4 linked regions of the Anolis sagrei genome follow. The protein of the gene in region 1 interacts with the protein of each later gene in a pairwise test. Links are inferred from orthologs where the notes say so. Each region holds a gene or a part of one and is shown in the gene's direction. Other genes may lie near its edges. The genes, in order: NFE2L2, MAFF, TNNT1 and MAFG.

The links.
Region 2: the proteins of NFE2L2 (region 1) and MAFF interact in binary tests that used the Homo sapiens proteins (3 or more experiments, as listed by UniProt). The link is inferred for Anolis sagrei from reciprocal best matches to the Homo sapiens genes NFE2L2 and MAFF.
Region 3: the proteins of NFE2L2 (region 1) and TNNT1 interact in binary tests that used the Homo sapiens proteins (3 or more experiments, as listed by UniProt). The two-hybrid records come from large-scale screens. The link is inferred for Anolis sagrei from reciprocal best matches to the Homo sapiens genes NFE2L2 and TNNT1.
Region 4: the proteins of NFE2L2 (region 1) and MAFG interact in binary tests that used the Homo sapiens proteins (3 or more experiments, as listed by UniProt). The link is inferred for Anolis sagrei from reciprocal best matches to the Homo sapiens genes NFE2L2 and MAFG.

The regions. Positions count from the first base shown.
Region 1 is NC_090021.1:190,489,141-190,496,517, forward strand, and holds the start of NFE2L2 (nuclear factor erythroid 2-related factor 2), read left to right. Parts: upstream 1-4,374; 5' UTR 4,375-4,655; coding exon 4,656-4,676; intron 4,677-7,377.
Region 2 is NC_090025.1:164,302,915-164,309,778, reverse strand, and holds the start of MAFF (transcription factor MafF), read left to right. Parts: upstream 1-3,840; 5' UTR 3,841-3,924; intron 3,925-6,864. UniProt on the Homo sapiens protein: Since they lack a putative transactivation domain, the small Mafs behave as transcriptional repressors when they dimerize among themselves.
Region 3 is NC_090026.1:20,229,273-20,236,304, forward strand, and holds the start of TNNT1 (troponin T, slow skeletal muscle), read left to right. Parts: upstream 1-4,016; 5' UTR 4,017-4,037; intron 4,038-7,032. UniProt on the Homo sapiens protein: Troponin T is the tropomyosin-binding subunit of troponin, the thin filament regulatory complex which confers calcium-sensitivity to striated muscle actomyosin ATPase activity.
Region 4 is NC_090022.1:113,769,882-113,777,183, reverse strand, and holds the start of MAFG (transcription factor MafG), read left to right. Parts: upstream 1-4,299; 5' UTR 4,300-4,368; coding exon 4,369-4,384; intron 4,385-7,302. UniProt on the Homo sapiens protein: Since they lack a putative transactivation domain, the small Mafs behave as transcriptional repressors when they dimerize among themselves.

The DNA.
Region 1 (7,377 bases):
TTGTGCATGTCAGTCCACTTCCTCAGCTGCAACAGAGTAATATTAAATCCTTGTGTTTTGAAACATATTTACGCAGTTGTAGGAATGGGATAGAGAACATATAGTATGATCCCTTATTTACATATTCCACCTGTCAGAGCTGTTCAACAGTGGAACTCTCTGCTTGGGAGTGTGGTGTACACTCCTTCCTTGGAAGGTTTTAAACACAGGCTAACTAGATGGCCCATGGGGTTGCTTCCAACTCTATTATCCAATTATTCAATGTTCAACAGTCATGGTTTCACTTAAGTAAAGGTAAAGGTTTCCCCTGACATTGTCTAGTCGTGTCCAACTCTGGGGGTTGGTGCTCATCTCAATTTCTAAGCTGAAGGGCCAGCGTTGTCCATAGACACTTCCAAGGTCATGTGGCCAGCATGACTGCATTACTCATGCTCTAAAATATATTCCTCCCAAACAGTGTTTCTGGGCCTTGGCATGTCCACAAACATTTTTGCAGTGATTCCAAACAATTAATTTGTACCATAATAATAATAATAATAATAATAATAATAATAATAATAAGAGGCCGGAGAAATCCCAAGGTGTAGATAAATCAATAGAGAAATGGATCTGTTCTTCCTGTTTAAAAACAAAACAAAACAAACTTTTATTGGGTGTCATAGCTACAACGGCAATAGGTTTTACAAAGATCAGTTTCACTCTACTCAGTAAAAACATGAATGATAAGCATAGAAGTAGAATTTAAACAAATATGTGAAAGGTTAAAGATAACAGAAATAAAGGATTTTGATTATATATATATGTGTGTGTGTGTGTGTGTGTGTGTGTGTGTGTAAGTAGAGTGCATAGAAGGTTTTATATGAACACAAAGCATATTCACATAATTGTCGAAGGCTTTCATGGTTGTAATCACTGGGTTGCTGTGAGTTTTCTGGGCTGTATGGCCATATTCCAGAAGCATTTTCTCCTGACGTTTCACCCACGTCTGTGGCAGGCATCCTCAGAGGTTGTGAGGTGTGTTGGAAACAACACACCTCACAAGTAGGGTTTCCAACAGAGCCTAGTTTCCAATGCTGTAAATAAATAAATGAAAAAAAAACCCCAAATACTTTTGTGACCTTATGTAATAAAATGCAGCTACCAAATTGAACAGCAGGTATCATTGGCTTTTTTTTTTAAAAAAAAAACAACAACAATATGGGGTATGCATTAACTGGTGTGTCACATTTGTGGCGTAATGTAAAATAAACCACGTGTAGTTCACGTTTGATCAGCCCACACACAGCCTTGCCAGAGAAAGAAAATATGCCACGCAGGTGAACAGTAAAGAACAAGTAGTTTACTCTTCTTAGTTGAGAACAATATATATAAAATGTGATCAGTTGCATTAACTTACATAAAGTCCTTTTTATGAGAGACTAGCTTGAGGACCCAGGTTATTTGAGAAAGGCATTATTTGTCTGTGCTCCAAGTTTAGTCTAGATCCAATGTTGACTGGGTTCAGTGGGTGTGGGTGAACTACAACTCCCATATGTAAGTCCCATTGTCTGTGGTCCATCCTCTTCCAAACGAAACCAGGATGTAGAGTGGATCATGGGCGCTCTGTGTGTCAGGTTTGGTCTTGATCAGTCATTGGTGTGAGTTGCAGTGGCTTCAGGAAGTGTGTGAAGGTACTGCAAGTCCCATCGTCCATGGTCTGTCATCCCACAGACTATACCAGACATAAAGTGGGTCATGGAGACTCTGTGTGCCATGTTTGGTTTTGATCTGTCACTGGTGTGGGTCACAATGTTCTCTGGAAGTTAGTGAAGGTACTATAAGTCCCATCATCCATGGTCCTGCCTCCTCCAAACCATGCCAGGATGTAAAGTGGGTCATAGGGGTTCTGTGTGCCAAATTTGGTCCAGTTTTGTCATTTGTGGGCATCGCAGTGGAGTGGGGGAGGTATATTGAATGAGGATACTGCAAATCCCATCATCTGTGGTTGGGTCCCCTGCCAAACTGCACCAGGACATTAAGTGGGCCACATTGGGTCTGTGTGCCAAGTTTAGCCCAGGCTCATCATTCCTGGAGGTTGTAGTGATATCTGGAAGTAAGTGAAGGTACTGCAAATCCAATCATCCATGGCCCATCCTCCTCCAAACTGCACCAGGATGTAAAGTGGGTCATGCATGCCAAATTTGGTCCAGGTCAGTTATTTGTGGAGGTTGCATTCGCCTGTGGAATTGGCAGCCAATCTGAAAGCTGCCACATACACTGCCTGCCGCACACATACAAACACTGCCTTTTATTATATACATAGATTTGAATGGTCTTTCTCGGTCCATGTGGATAAACTCCTTCAGCAGCTCATGAAGCGAGAGTACGCTCCAAACTGCTTCTCTCTTCAAACTGTTTCTCTCTGCACTTGCATAGCTAAAGCCTGAACAAAAATGTAACAGTAGCCAAAAGTCCCAGGCTTAGCCATTTCCTTGGGCATTGCCCGACGAATGAGCTTCATCTTATTTTACAGTTGACACACACAGACTCACTGATTCCTTGCATGCTCCAACAACATTGTCTGCAGATTAGTGGATATGAATGTTCCTTGATGGAAGAATTACTTTCAGGTGACATGTATAGACTGTATATGAAACAGAAATGTCATTGTTAGACTTGAGTCCCATCTGTAGTGCGGCACAGTGGTTTGAGTGTTGAACAATGGGTTTCAATCCCCACTGTGCCATGAAAACCAACTGGGTAAGTCAGAGAAAAAACTCAGGATGGGTTGCTGCAAGTAAGAATTGACTTGAAGGCACACAACAGTAACCGATCTCCATGATGTACAGTTGGCCTTCCATATCCATGGATTCTGCCTCAATGGATTCCACACCATTCACAGATGGGAAATATTTATTTATGATATATATGCTGCCTTTCTCACCCCAAAGAAGACTTAGAGCGGCTTACAAGATATATATACATAAGGTAAAGGTTTTCCCCTGACATTAAATCCAGTCGTGTCCGACTCTGGGGGTCGGTGCTCATCTCCATTTCTAAGCTGAAGAGCTGGCATTGTCCACAGATACCTCTAAGGTCATGTGGCCGGCATGACTGCACGGTGCGCCATTTACCTTCCCGACGGAGCGTTATCTATTGATCTACCCACGTTTGCATGTTTTCGAACTGCTAGGTTGGCAGAAGCTGGGGCTGACAGCAGAAGCTGATGCCACTCCCCAGATTCGAACCTGCGACCTTTTGGTCAACAAGCTCAGCAGCTCAGTGCCTTAACCCACTATGCCACCGGGTAATATATTATTAGCATAGTACAATATCAATATTAAATATTATTATAGTGTACTATTCCATTATATTGTGATATTACTAGTAATATTACATGTAATATAAACATATAATTATGTTTATTAGTATTATATTTCATTACATAATATTATATGTATATACAATATATTATATTATTAGCCTAGCACAGGAGACAAGGTGGAACTGTCTTCTGCTCCCCTCTCTCTTCACTCTGGCCCAGAGCAGCAGTTATTTCTTGGGGGGGGGGGGGGGGGGGGAGGGGTCCCCAACTGATGACATATTTATTTATCTACTATATTTGTATACTGCTTTTCTCAGCCCTCGGGCGACTCAAAGTGGTTAACAATAGCAAAATTCAATGCTCAGAACACCATAAAACAGTTAAAAACAATTAAAACAGTAGCATATTAAACACAATCATGCAGGAGACAAGGTGGAACTGTCCCCTGGCCACCTCTCTCTTCACTCGGGCCCAGAGCGTCTACACCAGGCCTGGGCAAGCTTGGGCCCTCCAGGTGTTTTGGACTTCAACTCCCACAATTCCACCAGCTATTAGGAATTGTGAGAGTTGGAAGTCCAAAACACCTGGAGGGCCCAACTTTGCCCAGGCCTGGTCTACACTGTGAGGTTAATTCAATTTGACCCCACTTTAACTGCCGCGGCTGTTAGGAATTGTGGGAGTTGAAGTCCAAAACACCTGGAGGGCCCAAGCCTGGCCTACACGGTGAAGTTCATGGAGTTTGACTTCACTTTAACTGCTGCTGCTGTTAGGAATTGTAGGAGTTGAAGTCCAAAACACCTGGAGGGCCCAAGTTTGCCCAGGCCTGGTCTACACTGTGAGGTTAATTTAGTTTGACCCCACTTTAACCGCCATGGCTCAATGCTATGGGATGTTGGCCCTTTTGCAAGGGTTTGAGCCTTCTCTGCTCCCTGAACTGCGACTCCGAGGATTCCACAGCACTGAGGCAGTTAAAGCGGTGCCAAAGTGGGTTTATCCTCCAGTGTGGACCAACCGCGAGGGCCTCCCGGCTCGGCCCCTCCTTCTCCGGGGGGAGGGAGGGAGGGAGAAAGGGAGAGAAGGCGGGGCAGGCGGCTGGTGGTTTCCCGGCAGGGAGGACGGACGGAGGGCGAGCAGAGCGGGACAGGGACAGCGGAGGAGAAGCAGGAGGAGGAGAAGGCTGTGTCGGCGTCACCGCCGGAGAGAGGCAGCTAAAGCGTCCCGTCCAGAAAAGGAAGAGCCTCAGTCCGCTTGATTCGTTAGGCGGCGAAGCCTCTCTCTCACTCTCCCTTTCTCCCCCCCCCCCCCCCGCACCCGGCGTGGAACCCGTTGCGTCATCGCCAGTGACGTCACCATGGAGGTCGAGATGCCGCAGGTGAGGCTCACTTTAGGGGTACTTGGATCCCCTTCCCCAGGAGGGGCGGGGCAGAGAGAGACCTCCGTGCGGGAGGAAAGGGGGCGGGGTTAAGGATAGGCCACGCCCCCTCGATTGCTGCGATCGCCACAGCGGTCCAAGCCGGTGTTATTTTTTTTCCTTTTTCTAAGCCACGCCCCTCTAGGCCGTGACGTCACAGCCAGGCTCGAATGCGCTGACTCACTGGCTCTTCGGTCGGCCTTGACAAGAGGAAGGGGCCCTGTTTTGGTTTGGAAACGAGGGAGTTGTAGTTTGGAGAAGTACCAGCACTCTTGGGCAGAGAAGGGCAAAGAAAAGCCAGAAGTCCTATAACTATGTAGAATGGATCAATAAGAGTTAAAGTGGTGTCAAAAGTGCATTCATTCTACAGTGTAGATCAGGCCTGAGCAAACTCTGGCCTTCCAGGTGTTTTGGACTTCAACTCCCACAATTCCTAGCAGTCCAAAACACCTGGAAGACCAGAGTTTGCCCTAGCTGCTGGGAATTGTGGGAGTTGAAGTTCAAAACACCTGGAAGGCCAGAGTTTGTCCAGGCCTGGTGGAGATGCGCCCTGGATCTGTTTTTCTTGTTGCTTCACCACTTTGTTTTCCCACATCTGGATCTATTATATACATATAATAATAATAATAATAATAATAATAATAATAATAATATGGAGCCCCCGGTGGCACAGTGGGTTAAACCCCTGTGCTGGCAGGACTGAAGACTGACAGGTCACATGTTCGAATCTGAGGAGAGGCCGATGAGCTCCCTCTATCAGCTCCAGCTCCTCATGCCGGGACATGAGAGAAGCCTCCCACAAGGATGATAAAAACATCAAATCATCCCCTGGGCAACGTCCTTGCAGACGGCCAATTCTCTCACACCAGAAGCAACTTGCAGTTTCTCAAGTCGCTCCTGACACAACAGCAATAATAATAATAATAATAATAATAATAATAATAGTAATAAACTTTATTTATACCCCCCAACCATCTCCTCAAAGGGGACTCGGGGTGGCTAACATGAGGCCAAGCCCAAAAATACAATACAGCAAAAAGTAAAATACAGACTGCAGACAATCAAAATTGCATCAGAATAAAATATGTATAGTAGCAAAAATAACATAAATAAAGCAAATTAGCACAGTATAAAATTGAAACAAAATGGACAGGCCAAATGAACGAGATAAAATGATAAAACCCTGGATGGGGTAGGAATAAAATATGTGATTGAGGGAAACCCAAAAGGATAATAAATAAATGCACAAAAAGATTGCAAAATGTGCAGTCTAGTAAGATATTTAGACTGTTACTGAAAGGAGGCAGACTTTCCATGGAGCTGCTGCTACTTTTTCAATACGTTCATAAAGCAGCAAATTCTTTACCTTTGTGCTTAGAAGGAATTATCACTTTTAGGTAACAGGGCTGTGCCCTTCATTTGCTTTCCGGTAATAATATGGGGCTGTGATGATGCAATGAGTTAAAGTGCTAAGCTGCTGAACTTACTGATTGGAAGGTCAGCGGTTCGAATCCGCAGGACGGGGTGAGCTCTGTTAGCCCCAGCTTCCAACCTAGCAGTTCGGAAAAACATGCAAATGTGAGTAGATCACTAGGTACCATGTCAGCGGGAAGGTAATGGTGCTCCATGCAGTCATGCTGGCCACATGACCTTGGAGGTGTCTAAGGACAGCATCAGCTCTTCGGCTTAGAAATGGAGATGAGCACCAACCCCCCAGACTTAATGTCAAGGGGAAACCTTTACTTTTACTAATATTACTAAAAATAAGAAAGCATAGGCACTTTGGTGGCACATGAATCCACTTAAAATCCAGTTTCTGCCTCCTGCAGAATGCTGGGGTTTGTAGTTTAGGGAGGATCCTTTAACAGCCTCACTAAACTACAAACCCCAGCATTCTGCAGGAGGCAGATACCGGATTTTAAGTGGATTCATTCTCAAGTGTGATGAAGAGTAGAGGGTGCATCCACATTGTAGAATTAATACTATATGACAGCACTTTAACTGCCATTGCTCCAGACTATGGAATCACGATAGTTGCAGTTTGACAAGGTCTTTAGCCTTCTCTGCCAACAGGAAATAGCCTCTCATATTTAGAACAATAATGTACATAATGGCTTTCATCTGATGTCAGTAGTCTACAGAGCCATGTGGAATATTTGCGGGTCTCTCACCAAACTACAGCTCCCAGGATACCATAGCATTGAGAGCCATGGCAGTTAAAGGATCAAACTGCATTAGTGCTACACTTTGCTATCATCACAGGGCCCTTCCACACAGCCATATAACCCAGAATATCAAGGCAGAAAATCTCACAATATCTTCTTTGAATTTGGTTATCTGAGTCCACACTGCCATGTATCCCAGTTCAAAGAAGACAATGTGGGATTTTATTCAGCTCTGTGGAAGGGCCCACAGTTTCCCCCCTCCATTCTTTTTGTGGGGGAGTTGATCTACTGGATTTCTCCCCTTCAGCCAGTCTCACCTCCCACTCTTTTGGTGACTTCCCCAATCTGCTTGAGCAACTTTTTGGAGGGACGGAAGAGCTTGCAAAACCCAACTTTGTCCAACAGTGTTCTTTTTATGGTATGCCTGAATCCAGCATCATACAAACGGCAATAAAATAGTGTTGTAAACCATGGAGACTACAAAAGCCTTCATCTGT
Region 2 (6,864 bases), on another chromosome or scaffold:
AGGGCTGTAACTGTGGCTCTTTTTAGACCAGCTAGTTAAGCTACTACTCATTTCCACACTGCAGTCCCATTTGAGAAGGCATGTTGCTATTGTGTAAGAGGGAAGCTGAGCTTTGAGGATATATATATATATATATATATATATATATATATATATATACACACACACACACACACACACACACACACACACTACCTGGCCTGCTTAGTATCAGTCAAGAGAACCAGCTAGGCCAGTTTCAAACCAGGTATTTTCTAGGGCTGTCCAGACCTGGGTGCAAAAGTATGGGAGACTAGATGTCTACCAAGATTGCCACTGATGCCATTCTTGAATCTAAATAGTGGACTGTTGCTCAAGGAGTCTCTGAGAACTATATTGGGGTACATCTACACTGTATAATTAATCCACTTTGACAACACTTTAAATGTTATGGAGCACTAGGAGTTGTAGTTTTACGTGGTCTTTCAGCCTTTCCTGAGGAATAGCGCTGGAGCTTCACCAAACTACAAAACCCAGGATTCCACAGCATTGAATCATGGCAAGTAAAGTGGGGTCAAACTGCATTAATTCTATAGGTAGATCAGACATAGGCAAACTTGGGCCCTCCAGGTGTTTTGGACTTCAACTCCCACATTTCCTAACAGACTACTGGCTGTTAGGAATTGTGGGAGTTGAAGTCCAAAACACCTGAAGGGCCCACGTTTGCCCATGTCTAGTTTAGATGCACCCTAATATGTCCTTGGACACTTTGTGTCACCTGTAGATTTCTGGCAACCCCATGCATTTTATAGGATTTTCCTAAGCAAGGAATACTTGGAGGTGGCTTTGTTAGTTTCCTCCTCAGACATATCATCTACAACCCTAAAGGTGCCGGATCCCATCTGATCTTGGAAGCTAAGCAGGCTTAGTCCTGGTTAGTACTTGGATGGGAGACCATTAACTAATACTAGGTGCTGTATGCGATATTTCAGGAAGGAAGTGGCAAAACCATCTCTGAGTATTCCTTGCCTAAGAAAAGTTCATGAAAGTGATGGGATTGCCCACACATAATCTGGGACATAAATATGAAAAGTAAATAAATACATGCACTGTGAATGACGTCTTTATTTTGATGATGGTAGTTATGTGTCCTACTTTATGGAAGACAATGAATACTCTTCCCTTTGAAGGTGCTCTTTATTTTACGGGTGTGGAACGATTGGCCCTGGAGGTGTTTGGGACTACAGTGCCTATCATCCTTATTGCTTTGCACGGTGGTTAGAGGTTTTGGGACCTGGAATCCAAAACATCTAGGATATGTTGAATATATATATATATATATATATATATGACACACACAAGAGTGTCTTTATACTACAGAGCAGGCATGGGCAAACTTCGGCCCTCCGGGTGTTTTGGACCAGCTGTAAGGAATTGTGGGAGTTGAAGTCCAACACATCTGGACTTCAACATTTTTGAAAAGTTTGATATATATTAATTGAGATATATATGTGTGAATTTGCAATTGTGTTTGTAACTATAACTGTATTTGTAATTGAAACCAAAGAAGAAAGAAAAAATGTGAAGAAATATTGTAACTGGTTTTGTAACAAATGATTTTGAAAATGTAAATATTGCAAACATTGTAAATACTGCAAAATTAAGTATGTCTCAATTGTAATTGTTAGTAAATGTGTTTGTAGTACATATTTATTATAATAAAATTACGTGTGTGTGTGTGTGTGGATAAAAATACTTATTTCCAAAACACCTGGAGGGCCGAAGTTTGTCCATGCCTGCTATAGAGCTAATGCAGGTAGACACCACTTAACTATCAGAGCTCAATGCTATGGAGTCCTGGGATTTGGTGACATTATTTTGCAGAGAAGGCTAAAGGCCTTGTAAAGTAGTGTCAGGCTGCATTAATTCTACAGAGCAGATGCAGTCCAGCTACAAGGTGTGCATTTGTTAGCCAGGGGCAGCCAGCAGAGCCCCGAAATTGCGCACCGGCAACTAACATCTGGACAGCAAGTACATAAGTCACCTACTCACCATTTCTCCCCACTGTGGTCCACCTATGTAAATATTTATGCTTTTGAATGTGCAAATTTTATGCAAATATGCAGTTTCTTTCGCCCTTCCTTTGATGTACTGTTTACATGCCACTTCAATCTTGACAATATAATTCATATACCAAGTTCTTGGGAACAGCAAGAACATGGGACTTAAACTTCCTTTTCCTTATTGCTTATCAAAGCTTGGGCATGTAAATGTTCCAGAAGAGCAACATCCACATGCCATTTTGGGTCAGTGCCCAGTAACCAGAATTACATGCCTAGAACTTACATTAAACATGCCTTTTATTTATATTATGTGTGTCATTTTGAACTATGGATGCATCTCCATTGTAGAATTAATACAGTTTGACACCACTTTAACTGCCATGGTTCAATGCTACGGAATCCTGAGAAATGTAGTTTCACAAGGGCCTTAGGCTTCTCTACTGAAGAGTTTGGTGACTCACCAAACTACGTTTTTAAACTGTTGTTGCAAGTACAGCAGTTTAAGATTGAAGGTGCATCCAGGGGCGGCTCAACCCATTATGCAAAGTAAGCATTTGCAGCATAGCTGATTTTGCCCAGGGGCGCTCTTGAGGTGCTCTTGGGGGAAAATAGACCTTGACATATGCGAGTTGTAGTTACTGGGATGTATAGTTCACCTACAATCAAAGAGCATTCTGAACTCCACCAATGATGGAATTGAACCAAATATGGCACACAGAACTCCCACGACGAACAGAAAATATATATCAGTGATTGGTTGGGGGGGGGGGGGGGGGCAAAATACTGTTTGCTTCCTGTTGAAAATTACCTAGGGCCGTCTCTGGGTGCATCTACACTGTAGAATCATAGAATCAAAGAGTTGGAAGAGACCTCAAGGGCCATCCAGTCCAACCCCCTGCCAAGAAGCAGGAATATTGCATTCAAATCACCCCTGACAGATGGCCATCCAGCCTCTGCTTAAAAGCTTCCAAAGAAGGAGCCTCCACCACACTCCGGGGCAGAGAGTTCCACTGCTGAACGGCTCTCACAGTCAGGAAGTTCTTCCTAATGTTCAGATGGAATCTCCTCTCTTGTAGTTTGAAGCCATTGTTCCGCGTCCTAGTCTCCAAGGAAGCAGAAAACAAGCTTGCTCCCTCCTCCCTGTGGCTTCCTCTCACATATTTATACATGGCTATCATATCCCCTCTCAGCCTTCTCTTCTTCAGGCTAAACGTGCCCAGCTCCTTAAGCTGTAGAATTAACCCAATTTGTCACCACTTTAACAACCATGCCTCAATGCTACAAAAGCATGGAAGCTGTAGTTTTACAAGGTTTTAAGCTGTCTCTGCCAAAAAAGTGCCATTCCTTTACCAAGCTACAATCCTCATGAGCCATAGCGATTGAAGTAGTGTCAAACTGTCCACACTGCCTTATATCCCAGTTCAAAGCAGATAATGTGGGATTTTATTCAGTTGTGTGGATGGTGCTGAAGATGGGAAGCAATACCAGCCCCAGCCGCACAACCTCGAGGTGCGTGTCCCTTTAAGAACCCCCATGCCCGGCTCCAAGATGGCGCCTGCCTTTGCCCTCTGCTCCGCCCGTGCCCTTCACTAAGATGGGGAGGGAGGGGAAAGAATGATGTCATCGCATGACTGTGTTTTTATGAATGAAAAGAATCCTGTGAGTGAGTAATTCCAGGAAACTCATATTACAACTCAGCAGATCGCTCAGCGCGCAGCCCAGCTCAGCCCTTTCTCGTCGCGGGGAAAACATCCACTTCGCGATTTTTGGGGTTTTTTGGTTGTTATTTATTTACAGAAACAAACCAGGAGAGCCCAGAAGGGGGAAAAGGAGGCAGAGGAGGGCAACGAGGAAGGAGGAGGAGGACAAGTCAACAAAAGAAGTGAGTAGATTGGTTTGTCACTCTGGAAGGGAAGGAAAGTTACAGCAGGAGGGACTTTTAACCCCAATGCCTTTTGCTAGACCATGAGGAGAGCAAGAGAGAGCCTGGAAAATATCTAAAAATAATATTTCTGCCCTTTGGTTGGATCAGGATGGCAGAGAGAGGCGAGAAAATGTCTTGTGTTTTGAGGAGTGGCTGGGGGTGGTTTCCTTCCCTTGTTCCAATCCGGGGCGTTTTGAAATAAGATGTATTTATTTAGATTGTTGTTGCTTATTGTTGTTTCCTTGGATCTTCCCAAAATCCACTCGGTTCCCTTTCCCTCCAGCCTTTCCCCACTGGTGTCTCGAGGGTGCTGCATTCACAAACAAACATAAAAATAGAGCAGGAAATCGCATAATAACAGAGGAGTTACTCATGGCTCCTGTTCACCATGTGGGTGCACGTGTTGAGGCCTGGGTCACATGGAGTCCTAGCTGGCTCCAGTTTCAAACTGGGGTTTAATGGGGGGGCTTATAAGGTTAGCGGCTGAGGGGGGAAAGGAAAGGGCCTGAGGCTGTGAGGAATGGTGGGAGTTGGAGTCCAAAACACCGTTTGCCCATGCCTGGTCTAAAGCAGTGGTTCTCAATCTGTGGGTCCCCAGATGTTTTGGCCTTCAACTCCCAGAAATCCCAGCCAGTTTACAGGCTGTTAGGATTTCTGGGAGTTGAAGGCCAAAACATCTGGGGACCCACAGGTTGAGAACCACTGGTCTAAAGGATTCTCAGACGAGCATCTGTCAGGAGGGCTTTGATTATGGCATTTGGGTTTCCCTTCCTTCCCTCTCTTGGGTTCTGACATCCATCCCTCCTTTAATGGGAGGGGGAACCCAATAGGGAAATGCCTTCACACAGGATCTATTTCTGCCCAAAGAATGGATCTATATCAGGCCCAAACAAATTTGGGCCCTCCAGGTGTTTTGGACTACCAACTCCCACTATTCCTAACAGCCTCAGACCCCATTATTTTCCCCTTCAGCCGCTTAAGAATGTCAGAATGTTGAGACTGGCCAATCAGAAACCATATACAAATTAGTAGGTCGAAATAGCTCATGCATGAGCCAACTTGGGCCCTCCAGGTGTTTTGGACTACAACTCCCACTATTCCTAACAGACTCAGACCCCTTTATTTTCCCCTTCAGCCGCTTAAGAATGTCAGAATGTTGAGACTGGCCAATCAGAAACTATATACAAATTAGTAGGTCGAGGTAGCTTATGCATGGGTCAACTTGGGTCCTCAAGGTGTTTTGGACTACAACTTCCAGCAATCCTAGCAGCCTCAGAACACTTTATTTTCCCCTTCAGCTGCTTAAAAATGTTAGAATTTTGAGACTGGCCAATCAGAAACCATATGCAAATTAGTAGGTCGAGATAGCACATACATAGGCCAACTTGGGCCCTCCAGGTGTTTTGGACTCCAACTCCCACCATTCCTAACAGCTTCAGATCCCTTTATTTCATAAAGAAAGTATTTATTATTATTATTATTATTATTATTATTATTTTACTGACACAAAATCACAGTATGGCACAGCAAACGAGATCTATATGCTGGATTTCGTATCACAAAATCACAAGTCAAACTTCCCAAGCGTCTAGGACTGTGTGATGTATATTATTATTATTATTATTATTATTATTACATAACATTAAGCCATGGCAGATAAAAAGGTATCAAACTGCACTAATTGTACAATATATAGATGCATCCTCAGTTAACAGGTGCTTACGGGGATTGATAGAAGCCGGATAAATGGATTCTCTAGTTGCTTGGGATTTGCTATTATAAATAAAAATAATACGTACTATACCATAAACCCTTGTCTTGACCTGATATTATTAATGAAATGCAGCAATTTAAAGCAAATTTATCTCAACTAAAAATAAAATTTCAGGCAAAAATATATACATATTAAATTTATTATTTCTTTGATTTTTTTGCCAGTTGTTTAAGATCTCTGGTTACTTGAATTTTGGTTAACCGAGAGTCTACTGTGTTTTAAAAAGCCACACTTAATGTCTAAAGTCCTGGGGGTCCAAATTTTTCTCTCTGGAAGCAAATTGGATGGGCCACTAGTTTCTTTGTTTTGGAGTCATAACTAATTGTCATAGTTGGGGTTCAGGAAGGAATCCAGCATGATATTGTGGTTTAGTTGGAGACCAGGATTCAAATCCCTAGTAGCGTGTAGAAACCCATTTTGTTGAGTCTTAGGGCGCCTCTACACTGTAGAATTAATGCAGTTTGACACTACATTAACTGCCATGGTGAAATGCTATGGAATCCTGGGACTTGTAGCTACACACAGCCAACTTCTGTTGTGCATCCCAGGGTCTGTAGTTTGAGCTATGACAGTTAACAAGGTGTGAAACTGCATTGACGCCAGTATAGATTTTTATTTATTGTATCAGAAGCAGATTGATGGTACACTGTGTAGAAAAACCACAAAGTTAAAAATTTGGCATCATACTAAATGTCCTTTGACCAGAAACTGGTCACTTGGAGTGCCTCTGGTGTCGCTGTGAGAAGGTCCTCCATTGTGCATGTGGCAGGGCTCAGGTTGCATTGTAGTAGGTGGTCTGTGCTTTGCTCTTCTCCACACTCGCATGTCACGGACTCCACGTTGTAGCCCCATTTTTTAAGGTGAGCTCTGCATCTCGTGGTGCCAGAGCGAGATGCAGCCTCAACAGGACGGAGACAGCAAACCCTTCTAAACCAATCTTGCCAATAAAACTGTGATAGGGTGCCTTTGGGTCACTATAAATTGCAAATGACTAGAAGGCATGAACAGCAACAACAAAAATAATCCCTTTAGGCCAAAACGTGCTGGAAATCTTGGAGCATTTGGTTGTTTTTGCCTGTTTCATGTGTAATACATGTATCACCTGTCCAGGTCACCCAGAGGTG
Region 3 (7,032 bases), on another chromosome or scaffold:
AATTTGGGGAGCAGGGTGAGCTCCCGTTGTTAGCCCCAGCTTCTGCAGTTTGAAAAAATGCAAATGTGTGTAGATCAATAGGTATGGCTCCGGCAGGAAGGTAATGGCACTCCATACAGTCATGCTGGCCACATGACCTTAGAGGTGTCTATGGACAAGGCTGGCTCTTCAGCTTAGAAATGGAGATGAGCACCAACCCCCAGATTTGGACACCTTTACCATTTACCTAGTTAGCCAATACTGGACTCTGATGCTGGGTGAAAAGGTGTTCCTGATGTAGAGTGCAACAGTATGCCCTTTCCACAAAAGCATGAACTGTCATTTCTTTTCTTCCAGGTGAAAAACAGAATCTGTCATCATGTCTGAGGAAGAAGTTGAGTATGAGGAGTAAGTAACACCAACTCTGGACCATGGTCACAAATGTGTGGTAATGAAAGCACCCACACATATTTCATATTTTTTGGTGGGGGAGGTATTCAAGCAAGCTGAAATATCAATTTGCTTTCTCTGAGAATCCACTTACAGATACAATTAGATCCAGAGAGGTTAGAATAATGGGGTGAATTATTCCATCTACGTCATATTTTACATATTCACAGACTTGCCAGACATAAGATTCAAATGGCTCCTTCAATGTAGATTCCAATAATCACATTTGAAAGTAGAGGCATTTGAAACTGCAGCTTTGAATTTTGAAACTGGGCCCAGTTTTAAGTGTTATGGTTTCAAGGACATCTGGGGAAATTCAACCAAAATGTATGAAATTGACCCAAACAGTTGAACAGGGATGGTGAAGTGACATGGCCTCTCCATTTCTCCCATTTTTCTGAATGTTCAGCATACTTGCATTGACACTAATTACACGGTGTTTACTGTGCAGAAAAGAAAATTACTTTTGCTAGGCATAACCCATTATTAGCTATCAATTCCTTTGTCCCCCTGTAACAGTGCTCCAACTAAATTATAGTATTTCTGTAATTTATTAAGTTTTTCCAGTGTTAATTATGACTGATAGAATCATTAAATGATAGAACTGGAATGGATCAAATCTAGCCCAACACCTTGCCATATACAACTAGAGCCCTCTACAAAAGTGCCCATCCAGTCTTGGTTTTAAGACCTTCATGAGAGTTCACCATTCTTCAAGAGTCCTATTTCACATTTGGAAAGCCCTTATGGCAAAGAAGTTCTTCTTAATGTATAGGTATTTGAAGTTCTTCTTAATGTATATGTCATTTGAATCCACTGGTTTGTATTCCAGATGCAGGAACAAGCTCACTCTGAAACCATTGGCTCTGTAGTTTGGTGAGCCACTAGAGCTCTCTACAGAATAATTCTAAATTCCCTCCCTACAGTGCGGATTCCAGAAATCCATAGGATGTTGCCATGGCAGTTAAAGTGAATGTGTAGTTCTATTTATTTATTTTTCGTGTCAGGAGCAACCAGACAGTTGTATTACATTTTTAACAAAACAGACAGACAGACAGACAAAACACAAAGTTTGCAAGCTTGATTGATTAAATGTCCTTTAACCAGTATCTGGCCACTTGGAGTGCCTCTGGTGTTGCTGCAAGAAGGTCCTCCATTGTGCATATAGCCAGGCTCAGGTTGCATTGCAGCAGGTGGCCAGTGGTTTGCTCTTCTCCACACTTGCATGTCATAGATTCCACTTTGTAGCCCCATTTCTTAAGATTGGCTCCGCATCTTGTGGTGCCAGAGCGCAGTCTGTTCAGCGCCTTCCAAGTCACCCAGTCTTCTGTGTGCCCAGGGGGGAATCTCTCATTTGGTATCAGCCATTGATTGAGGTTCTGGGTTTGAGCCTGCCACTTTTGGACTCTTGCTTGCTGGGGTGTCCCAGCAAGTGTCTCTGTAGATCTTAGAAAACTATTATTTGATTTAAGTCGTTGACATGCTGGCTGATACCCAAACAAGGGATGAGCTGGGGATGTCACTGCCTTGGTCCTTTCACTATTGGCTGCTACTTCCCGGGAGATGTCAGGTGGTGCAATACCGGCTAGACCAGGGGTCCTCAAACTAAGGCCCGAGGGACGGATACGGCCCTCCAAGATCATTTACCCGGCCCTCGCTCAGGGTCAAACTAAGACTGAAATGACTTGAAAGCACACAACAACAATTATCTATGTCATCAGCCAAAAGCAGGCTCACACTTCCCACTAAAATACTAATAAGTTTATATTTGTTAAAAAAAATTCTTCATTTTAATTATTGTATTGTTTTTAAGTGTTTTTTGCACTCCAAATAAGATATGTGCAGTGTGCATAAGAATTCATTCGTGTTTTTTCAAATGATAATCCGGCCCTCCAACAGTTTGAGGGACCGTGACCTGGCCCTCTGTTTAAAAAGTTTGAGGACCCCTGGGCTAGACAGTGTAATTTCTCCAGTGGTGTAGGGCGCAGACACCCCATGATAATGCGGCATGTCTCATTAAGAGCCACATCCACTGTTTTAGCGTGGTGAGATGTGTTCCACACTGGGCATGCATAGTCAGCAACAGAGTAGCATAGCGCAAGGGCAGATGTCTTCACTGTGTCTGGTTGTGATCCCCAGGTTGTGCCAGTCAGCTTTCGTATGATATTGTTTCTAGCACCCACTTTTTGCTTGATATTCAGGCAGTGCTTCTTGTAGGTCAGAGCACGGTCCAGAGTGAATCCCAGGTATTTGGGTGTAGTTCTATATCTGTACAGTGTTAAATAGTCTCAATTTGCAGAAAACATAGGAGTAGCAATGATGGGAAGACATGCAACAACCATGCTGCTCTGAGTATTGTGGAGAGAAAAAGTGAGGTATAAAAAAACATAAACATAACAACAACAACAACAACAACAACAACAACAACAGTTCCTCAGTGGTCTAGGTACCGTTCATGGGTCATCTACTTAGGAACAGGTCCTTAAAGGAGACATAAATGCAGCATGTTGGAAATATTCAAGTCTGTTTGACTGCCATTGCTCCCATCCTATAAAACTTCAATGATGGAATCAAGGGTTTTATTTACCAAAACAATTCTCTGACTTTTAGAGTAAGCAAACCATGGCCATTGATTGACTGTGGGCATACTCATACTATATCATGGTTATATTATATAGTATAAGTATGTCCACATATTTGGGTCAACACTGAAGGATGGATGCACTAATGTATATATCCATTTCTTTCTCTTACTTTCTCTTTCTCTTCTCCTGCCAATCCCGTTTTCCACACACCAGGGAGCAGCAGGAAGGTAAGGGATATCTATCTAAGCCATCTGTTTTTGCTCATTATCAATTCCAGGTGCTGGTTTCCAGCTTATTTTTAAAAAATTTAAACATCACCAAACTTCATCAAACTGGCACCTTCTGAAATGGGGAAAACTACAGCCCCCATAATCCCTGACAGCATGGCCATTTAGCTGATGGAGAAATTGGCCAACACATCTGACGGTCGCCAATTTGAAGAAGGCTGGTGCACTCCGTATTATCTGTGGATTGATAGTTGTAACCAATTATCAGTTGGTTATTTTCCCATGTTGACGTTCTGAAAGGTCTGAATGAAAGTTGTCATTGTTATTTGCTTCTTTCCTCTAAACTTAGCCTAATCTACCTCTGTTTAAGCTTTAATGGTGTAGATTTTTTTGCCAGGTATTTTTGCACATGACAATATCAACTTGATCAAACAAAAAGCCATGGTATTCTTTTTCACACCTGTGATCATTATTGTTTTCTCCATCTTCGTGGAGGCCCAGCAACAGTGGAGGCTCAACTTACTTCGCTCTTCTGGACTTTCCATTGTTTCTGATTTAATTTAAGAGCTATTGTCCGCACGATAGGCAAATAAAAGTCTTAAAGACCAACTTATCTTTGGGAACATTCCTCCTATTTAGATTTGTTCTCAGAGGCGGCCAGCAACATTAAGTGATTGGGAAAAAACCTGTACTTTTATCCATATTCATTTGAGCTACATTTTGACATGAAACTAAGAATCCCTCTTTCTCTCTTTCTCTCTGTTTCTTAAAGAAGAGGAACAACCTGAAGAAGAAGGTGAGAAGACCTCATCTGTTTATCCCTCTATCCCAAGTATTTCCATTTCTTTCTTTTTTTCCAGGCTTGTGGCAAACAGAAATCCAGCTGGAATCAAATAGATTAAGGAAGTGGTTTCGTCATAGAAAACCAGGGTCTCTTTCACACTTCATAGTTATTGCATTCTGGTATTACCTTAACTGCTGTGCCTGAATCCTAAGGAACAAGATTCGTTGTTTGGTGAGGCACTATAGCTCTCTTCTCTCATAACAAGGGAAATCTTAGGATACAAGAAATGGACAGTGGGCTATCACAGTGTAGCAAGAAAGAAACTCTGGATACCTACTCCCCAAACAACCTGGTTTCTAAGTACAGTAGAGTCTCGCTTATCCAACATAAATGGACCAGCAGAGCACTGGATAAGTGAAAATGTTGGATAATAAGGAGGGATTAAGGAAAAGCCAATTAAACATCAAATTACATCATGATTTTACAAAGCACCAAAACATCGTGTTTTGCAACAAATCGGCAGAAAAAGCAGTTCAATACACGATAACATTATGTGATAATTACTGTATTTACTAATTTAGCACCAAAACCTTGCAATGTATTGAAACAGCTGTGGATCTGGGAAGGGGGGGGGGCAGACTGCGTTGGATAATACAGAACATTGGAGGAGCGAAGGTTGGATAAGCAAGACTCTACTGTAGTTCTTCTCCCCAAAGAGAATGAGGCCAAGGGAGCAAAAAGCAGGTTTACATTTATGGCATGGAGGTGTATTCATTTTGGTTGGAACTGGTTAGATCTGGCTTTACTCTTCAGGTCTTTTATAGTTCTTTCATTTCCTCAAATTTCTCCCTTCTGGTTTTCAGCTTGAGGAGAATCATAGAAATGCACATGCTCTTATATTCCTGGATTTTCCTTTGAACTGATCGAGTATCACTGACATTGTCTGACTTGGTGTACTACAATTCCCACAACTCCTAGAATTGGACAAGGACGTTGAGAGTTGTTTTCTCAAAACAACTAGAGGGGACTAGGTTGGGGAAGAGTATACTGTGTTATGAAGGTAAAGATAAAGATCTCCCCTGACATTACGTCTGGTGGTGTCCGACTCTGTGGAGTGGTGCTGAGCTCCATTTCTAAGCCAAAGAGCCAGCATTGTCCATAGACACTTCCAAGGTCATGTGGCACCACCAGAGGGTCCATTCTGTGTATTAACTTGGTCCAATATGTGTTCAGACTCTTTTATGTTTATGACCAGCATTCCATCTCTTAGGTGCTTGAAGAAGGTCCTTCACCGATGTAACATCATTTTTCCTTTTTTCCTTTAACCAGGTTTCACACCATGGTCATGGTGGTTTGTTTCGCCTTTCAGTCATAACCAAGCTTTTCTTCTCTTGACCTTTTTTCCCCAATCTCAATATCTACCCACAGAACAGATGTGTGTCTTATATCCATTCTGAGTAATGTGCATTATTTTTTTATTGAAAACACAGTCCAAATGTGGCATTGGTTTCCAATTTTAAACCCCCTCCAACACAGCCCCTATTGGGTGATTCTTCACTACCACCATTTAAGAGAAGAGAACCCCCAGTGGCACAATGGGTTACACCCTTGTGCTGGTAAGACTGCTGACTGATAAGTCAGCAGTTCAAATCTAAGGAGAGTGGGTTGAGCTCCTTCTGTCAGCTCCAGCTGCCCATGCAGGGACATGGGAGAAGCCTAACACTAGGATGGTAATACATCAAACAACCGGGCGTTCCCTGGGCAATGTCCTTGCAGACAACCAATTCTCTCACACCAGAAGCGACTTGTAGTTTCTCAAGACACTCATGACACACAAAAAATTAAGAGAATGAGGAATAAAAGGCATGAAACTTGTTGTGCCTCTTGGAGGCAAGGAAAAGAATAATAACACCATACAAGCATGCAACCAAATCACTCTCTATGAATGGAGAAAGGGGAAAAAGCTGAGCAGAGCATTCTTCTTTTCAAGGATAAGACCTGTTATGGTTTCTTTCCATTCTTCTGCTCCCCAGAACCAGGGTTGAAGTGGTGGGTGGGCTTCCTTCTCATTGGCTAACAAGTGTTTTTAATTTCCCTGTCCCCCTTTACCCCCATCCTGTAGCTCAGTCTCCCCAACTCTTCTACCCATCAGATGTTTTGGATTATAGGTCCCATCAGCCACAGACAGCATGGCGATGGGACTTGTAGCCCAAAGACACAACTGGAGGGTAATGGGTTGGGGATGGCTGTTGTAGATGCCTTTTTCTAACTGCATTTTCCTTTCTTTCCTGGATTTGGTCCTTCCCCTACAACCTCCTTCTCTCTTCTCCTCCTACCTCTCCCGACTTTGCCTCTGTTCCTCCCCCCACATCCTGTCCCTGTGATGTGTGTTGGTTGCAGTGACTGAAGAACCTGAGCCAGCTCCTGAGCCAGGTATATAACTCTCCTTCGCTCCGTCCTTCGTGGGGTGGGGGGCCAACCCAGGAGGAAGACACAAGTAGAAGAAGAAGGCAGCGAAGAAGACAAATCACATTGCTCTGCCTTGACTCAAGACAAGACATACCCTCCAACATTTCCCACACAGAAAGAGAATGCATGTGACCAAATAGCTTCAAAGTGCTGCACATGTTTACTGATGAAGCACACAGGAATTTGCTTTAGCCTGGACCTACTGGAAAAGGCAATATTCTGCCCCTCATCTCTTTGGTGCAAACTACTTTGGCACTTTGGACTGAGTTTTCCTGGCTGTATGGCCATGTTCTAAAAGCACTCTCTCCTGACGTTTCACCCACATCTATAGCAGGTATCCTCAGAGGTTGTGAGGTCTGTTGGAAACTAGGCAAGTGGGGTTTCTATATCTGTAGAGTGTCCAGGGTGGGAGAAAGAACTCTTGTCTATTTGAGGTAGGTGTGAATGTTGTAATTGGCCAGCTTGAGGTCAGTTTCCAACAGACCTCATAACCTCTGAGAATGCCTGCTATAGATGTGGGTGAAATGTCAGGAGAGAC
Region 4 (7,302 bases), on another chromosome or scaffold:
GTCTCCATGGGGTCCACTGTACAGGTGTGGGGAAATCTCTCATTCACTTCAGAAGTGTGTTTCTTTGTGCATACTACTTACTTACTTTTACTTAGGCAATCCCTCGTTGGCCGAGTAGGATAGTCTTCCAGGATCAGAATTCTTGTGAGACTGTAGGTGGCTGTGGAGCCCTGTTCTTGATCTGCATCTTCTCTCGCAGTGAAGGCATTGGTTTCCAAGTGGAAGGCGGTCCCGGTCGGGGCTGGCTTGACGACCTTCCTCTTGGCACGTTTCTCTCTTTCACCCTCCATTCGTGCCTCTTCAAATTCTGCAGCACTGCTGGTCACAGCTGACTTCCAGCTGGAGCGCTCAAGGGCCAGGGCTTCCCAGTTCTCAGTGTCTATGCCAGAGATTTTAAGGTTGGCTTTGAGCCCATCTTTAAATCACTTTTCCTGTCCACCTTTGTGTATAATGAAGAATGCAAACTCTTAATTGGCCTTTATATGTTGAGCCTTATATTTTGGGGTATTTGTGTGTACATGTCCAAATGCTTCAAAGCCAATGCAGTTTCCATTTTGTCGCCAAAGGGCTTAAGCAGCCAAGTAGCAGCAAGGGGTCTGCCTAATCCATAACCTACTGCCAGAGCTCAGGCTAGGAGCCCAAACTGCATTAATTCTACAATATAAATGCTAATTGATGCATCAAATTAATGTGATTTTAACCCCACTTTAACTGCCATGGCTCAATTATATGAAGTCCTGGGAGTTATAGTTTTATATGGCCTTTAGTTATAGTTTTATATGGCCAAACACCCCTTTTGCCTCAGCCTTCTCCCAAAAGGAGACTGGTGTTCAACCTGACCAGTACGAAGCTGAAGAGGTAATAGGGGAAATGCAACCCAAAATAGGTAAGCAAGTAGTTTAGGAATACCTGGCTACTCTAAATGAATTCAAGTCTCCGGGGACAGATGAACTATGTCCAAGGGTATTGTAAGAACTAGCAGAAGTCATTTCAGAACCACGGGCAATAATCTTTGAGAATTCTTGGAGAACTGGAGAAATGCAGACTGGAGGAGGGCAAATATTGTCCCTATCTTCAAGAAGGGACAAAAAGAGGATTTAAACAATTACCGTCCAGTCAGCCTGACATCAATACCAGGAAAGAGTCTGGAGCAGATTATTAAGGAAGAAGCCTACAATCACTTAGAAAGGAATGCTGTAATTAATAAAAACAACAACATGGATTTCTCAAAAACCAGTCATGTCAGACTAATCTTATCTCGTTTTTCAATAGAGTTACAATCTTGGTAGATACTGGGAATGCTGTGGATGTATTATATCTTGATTTCAGTAAGGCCTTCGTCAAATTCTGCTATGAACTTCATACAAGCAAACAAATCAAATGTGGGCTAGGCAATACTACTACTAGGTGGATTTGTAATTGGTTAAGTGAGTGAACCCAAAGAGTGCTCCCCAATGGTTCCTCTTCATCCTGGAAAGAAGTGACTAGTGGAGTGCCGTAGGGTACGGTCCTGGGCCCAGTACTGTTCAATATAGTCATTAATGACTTGGATGAAGGTTTAGAGGGCGTGCTTATCAAGTTTGCAGATGACAACAAATTAGGAGGGATAGCTAATACTCCAGAGGACACGATCAGAATTCAAAATGACTTTAACAGATTAGAGAGAAGGGTCAAAACTAACAAAATGAATTTCAACAAGGACAAATGTAAGATACTACACTTGGGCAGAAAAAAATGAAATGCAACAATACAAAATGTGAGAAAGATCTTGGAGTCTTCATAGACAACAAGTTGGACATGAGCCAACAGTGTAATCAGCATCTTAAAAAGCCAATGGGATTCTGGGCTGCATCAACAGGAGTTTAGTGTCTAGACTGAGGGAAGTCACTGTGCCTTTGTATTCAGCTTTAGTCAGACCTCATCTGGAAGACTCTGTCCAATGCTGGACACCACAGTTCAAAAGAGAAGCTGGAAGGTGTCCAGAGGAGGGCGACTAAAACTAAAGGCCTAGAGACCATGAATCCTTAAAGAACTGGGTATGTTTAGCCTGCAGAAGAGAAGATTGAGAGGAGACACAATGGCCATGTATAAATATGTAAAAGGTTGTCATTTTTATAATGTTTTATTGTTCTGGTTATTGTTAAATGTTTTTAATTGTGTTACCTTGTAATCTTTGTCTATGCTGGGCTTGGTCCCCATGTAAGCTGCCCTGAGTCCCTTCGGGGAGATGGTGGCAGGATATAAGAATAAAAATATTATTATTTGATACATAACAAGATAAGTACACAGCAAACAAGTTCACTATGCTGGCCTTTATATTTGATCACATGCCAGACACTTCCCAAATGTCTAGGACTGTGTGATGTAACGGCGAATAATGCATGCCAATCTGAGTAGGGTGGCCTTTTGCAGCTGACAGAAGGTAATTTTGTCAGCGCAGATTGTTTTTTAATGCAGGCCAAGGTCTTTAGGCACTGCACCCAGTGTACTGATCACCACTGAGACCACCTTTACTGGCTTGTGCCAGAGTCTTTGCAGTTTTATCTTTTAATCCTCTAATAATAATAATAATAATAATAATACAAGAAAGAGGGAGTAGGTAATAATAATAATACTTTTACTTTACTTAGGTGATCCCTCGTAGTCCGAGGATGATGGTCCTCCAAGAGTGGTATCCTGGGGATAATAATAATAATAATAATAATAATAATAAATATTATTATTACAAGGAAGAGGGAGCAGGCTTGTTTTCTGCTGCCCTGGAAACCAGTATGTGGAGCAACTGGTTTATATGACAGGAGAGAAGATCCCACCTGAACATTAGGAAGAACTTCCTGAGCGTAAGAGCTGTTCAGCAGTGGAACTCTGTGCCCCGGAGTGTGGTGGAGGCTTCATCCTTGGAGGTTTTTTAAATAGAGGCTGGGTGGCTATCTGTCGGGGGTGCTTTGAATGCAATTGGGGATTGGACTGGATGGCCCACGAGGTCTCTTCCAACTCTATGATTCTATGAAACTTGAAAAACATCATATGCCAGGACCACTGTGAATGGTGTGGGGAGGCTGGCTGGCCACCTGTCGGGGCTGCTTTGACTGTGCTGTCCCTGCGAGGGCGACTGGGGTTGGGGCTGGGCGGCCCCTGCACGCGGCGCTTGCCCAACTCTATGATTCCCGGAGCGAGTCTTTACATCCATCCATCCCTACCTCTATCCATCCCTCCCCTGGGCGGCTGCACCGACTGGCTTCATGAATGGAGGCACGTGACCCAAACATCACGTGACGCGTCCGTGAGCAGCGGTGGCGGCGGCGGGCCCCGGACTCTCGGTCCCTCTGAGCGGCGTGGCGGCCTCCCCGTCCCCGCCCCGGCCCGGCCCTCCCCTTCCCCGGCGGCACCGAGCGAGCGAGCGGAGGGTGAGCGAGGGAGAGAGAGAGGCCGGGGCCCCCTCCCCTCCTCCCGGCCTTTGAAGGGAAAGACGGAGGGAGCCTGCCTGCCTGCCTGCGTGTGTGTGTGTGTGTGTGTGCGTGGAGGAAGAAAGAGGCAGCGGGGCAGGAGAGGCCGCGCGCGCGGTGTGTGCCCTGTGCGCGCGTGCTGGGGAGGGGGCTCCTTCCCTCCTTCGCCATGTAGTCTTGCGTGGAGTTTCCCTCCTGGGTCCGTGTGCTTCCGGGAAGGCCACCCTTGCATCCCCCCCCCCCCACCTTTTCCTTTCCCTTTCCCGCGGGTTTCCAGGTGTGGGCCCAGGTGAGCGGGAGGCGGCCTCTCCTTCCTCCTCCTGCTCCTGCTGCTGCTGCTGCTGCGCCTCGCCTTGTCTCTGACAGGTGGGTGGGCTTCCCTTGTCTCCCCCTCCCTCTGCCTCTGCCTTTCTTTCCTTTTCCTCGCGGCGTGGGAGAAGCCTGCCCTGGTTTGTTTTCTCCCCCTCCAGCTTCTCCTTGCTAGAAATGCTCCCCCGTTTCCTCCCGGATCTCTTTTGTTGTTGAGTTGCGGCGGGGAGGAAAAAGTAGTTGACCCTCCCCTTCCCCAGCCAGTCCTTGGGTGATCGTTGTTGTTGTTATTATTCGAGAGTGTGTGCCCGCTCCTTCCCTTCCTTTCCTTGGGGCAGAGGAGGGGAGAGGCTGCCTGCAGGCTGGCCGTCTCCTCCTTCTCCCTCTCTCCCTCTCCCTCTCCCTTGTGCAGCCATGTCTGGCAGAGTGGAAGGGCTTGTGGTGCTGACTCATCAGGTGTCTGTGGGGGGGGGGGGAGGCAGGGGGAGCAGCCTGTGCCTGTGAGTGAGGATTTGAGGGGAGGGCATGAGGATCAAGGGGAGGGGGCTCTCTCACCCCCTTGCACCACCTCCCGCCTTTGAGCCTTGCTGGGTGACATTGCTGACTCATCAACATGAGGTCACCACTAGGTAAATGCTGCATATACACATACACAAAAAGGAAGGGGGTCTGGCTGTAGTTTGGGGGAGGGGGCTGCCATAGGTCAGCTGCAGAAGAGACCTGACCTGCTGATTCATCTCCTGGCAGAGAAGAGTGCCAAGTTTGGGTGGGAAAAGGGGAGCACCTGAGATTCCCTTTCCCCCCCCTTTGCTTTGGCTGCATTGAGTGTGTTGGGAGAAGCGCAGCCTGGCAGGACAGAAGGGTGCCCATGACGATGACCAAGCGGAGAAGGGGTATTTGGCAGAACTTTTGGCAAGAGATCCTTTTCTGAAAACTTGTGGGTGCTTAAGGTGGGTCAGGCACACATTGGGTTGTTTTTGACAGCAGCCTATCCTCCGCTGTCTTTTTTACTGGGAACAGAGACTCTGAGCCTTTCCCAAGGAGTGGGAATCATGCCTTTTTATGTCTCTGTCCGTACGGTAGTTACTCCTGTCTTGTATCATTCTGTTGATGTTGTCAAATGCTGTCGCTAACATAGTCATTCTGTGCTGCCATCTGTAGCAGACATTATTGTTTTATATACTTTCACCTGGACAGTTTTACGGGCCATTTTGGGCCAGGCAGTTTACATGTTGCCCTAAGCACCTCGTCTCCATGGTTCTTCTGTTTTTATTGGCTTTGGTCCTGAAGAAAAAGGACAGCTTTATGGGAAGGACTACTTCTGTCTCTGCTGTTAGACAAGGGCCCTGTGAAAGAGGTTGGTATTGTGTCACACTGAAATGGCAGGGAGGGCTTTCATCTAGAGATTTGTAGGATGGAGCACATCTGTGCAACAAGTGCATGTTGTCCTCTACTGAGGGACCTTCCACAGAGCCATATAACACAGAGTATCAAGGCAGACACCCCCCAATATCTGCTTGGAACGGGTTTATCTGAGGGACCTTCCACACAGCCAAGTAACCCAGAATAGCAAGGTAGAAAATCCCAATATCTGCTCTGAATTGGGTCATCCAAGTCCATCCTGCCATATATTCCAGCTCAAAGCAGATAATGTGGAATTTTATTCAGCTGTGTGGAAGGGACCTGCATCCCTAGTGGGACATTTCCCATAGCAAACCTGGCTGGAGCCTGTCATCGTCACCTGCAGCCACGACTCCGGAGGGCAGCCTGTCCTCTGCCAGTTGGTGGGTGGACAGAATGGTCAGTGTCTATCTTGTGCTCCAGATGTGTTTGCATGGGATGTTTTCTGGTAAAAGCAGCTAGCCATCTTGGTTTAATATGCTTCTGACCCAGGCATGGGCAAACTTCGGCTCTCCAGGTGTTTTGGACTTCAACTCCCAGAAATCCCAGCCAACTTACCGGCTGTCATGAATTGTGGGAGTTGAAGTCCAACACATCTGGAAGGCCGAAGTTTGTCCATGCCTGTCCCAACCTATGGATTTAAAACAGTAAGTTAGGAGGGCTCTGGAAAGTTGCCTGATTTAGACTGCAGAGTAGGTGAAACTTGGTATTCCTATAACAGATCTGTGTCATTTGCATATCTATTCCTGTCTTGAAAATTGATTTTTAAAAAATATTATAGGGGGCATCATAAACAGGGATAAATTGAGTCAAGATAGTTAGGAGGCAGACTTGATTTAAAAACAAAACAACCTACCTACAACATTGCATTTCTTGGAGGAAGCATTGGGTAGTGTTGTACCCTTTACTGCATGTTGGGATTGTGTGGTATAGAGATCATACTGCCGGTCTTGAAGGGGTGATGTGCAAAAGTCTTCCAATTTTTGTATCTAAAATACTGCAATGTGGACAGTTTTCCCTCTGTTTAGATAAGTGAAATAACGTGAGGTATTTATATATTTTATTTATTGTGTCAGAAGCAAATTGAGAATACATTTATAATGTATAAAATGCCACAAACAAAGTTAAAAGCTTGGCATTATGCTAGATTTCCTTTGACCAGAAGCTGGCCACTTGGAGTGCCTCTGGTGTGGCTGTAAGAAGGTCCTCCATTGTGCATGTGGCAGGGCTCAGGCTGCACTGTAGTAAGTGGTCTGTGGTTTGCTCTTCTCCCCACTTGCATGTCATGGACTCTACTTTGTAGCCCAATTTCTTAAGGTTGGCTCCACATCTCGTGTTGCCATAAGGTGTTTATGACAAATGGGAAACAAAATTGATGTGTCAGGGCTTGAAGCAAGAATTCAAAGAAACAGGGAAATGAATGAAGTTCTATTTCATTTTGATTGTATGCTTAGCTTAGTGATGTTAAGTAATGAGGCTGGCATCTCAGTCTAAGGTCATGTAGGAACAACTAATTTAGGTCCCCATCCCACCAGTTCTGCTGACTAAGAGGCACGCTCACAGCAAAAGCAATGGTGAAGCACTTAGTATATAAATACACTGTACAGGGGAGTCATGTCTTCTTGGAGGGGATAAGATTTTCTGGTGACCATACAGCTCTGAAAGTCTTACTGGATATCATTGAGTTCATATTCCTTTCCCAGGTTAGAACTCTTGACAAAGGGATCACTATATTTCTGAAGGATAATTTGGAAGCTCAGTTTGATACCTTCCTTTAAATGGATGTCAGTGGCTATGTGCTTTTAAAGAAATACAGGGTTATGTTAGGGAGACTTTTTGTCCTACACCTGTTGGGAAGCCTCCCACTGTGGGCTGTCATCCAGCTCCTGGTCCCCCCTTGCTCCCGTCCTGCCGCCCTCTTTATCCCTTACAGCTGGGCCTCCGGTGATGGGCTGTCTTTACTGCTGGAATGGATGACGTCACCATGTTTACACTCGTTTGATGGCACTGCTCTGTGAACCAGGAATGTTGAGAATGGGGCCTGTGTTGAATCATGCACTCTCTGTCAGCTCTGTTGTGAGCGAAGAATTGGCGGTGCTTGTGCTGAGTGCAGGCCTTTTGAGTCCTGGCGAAATGTGTTGAGGCT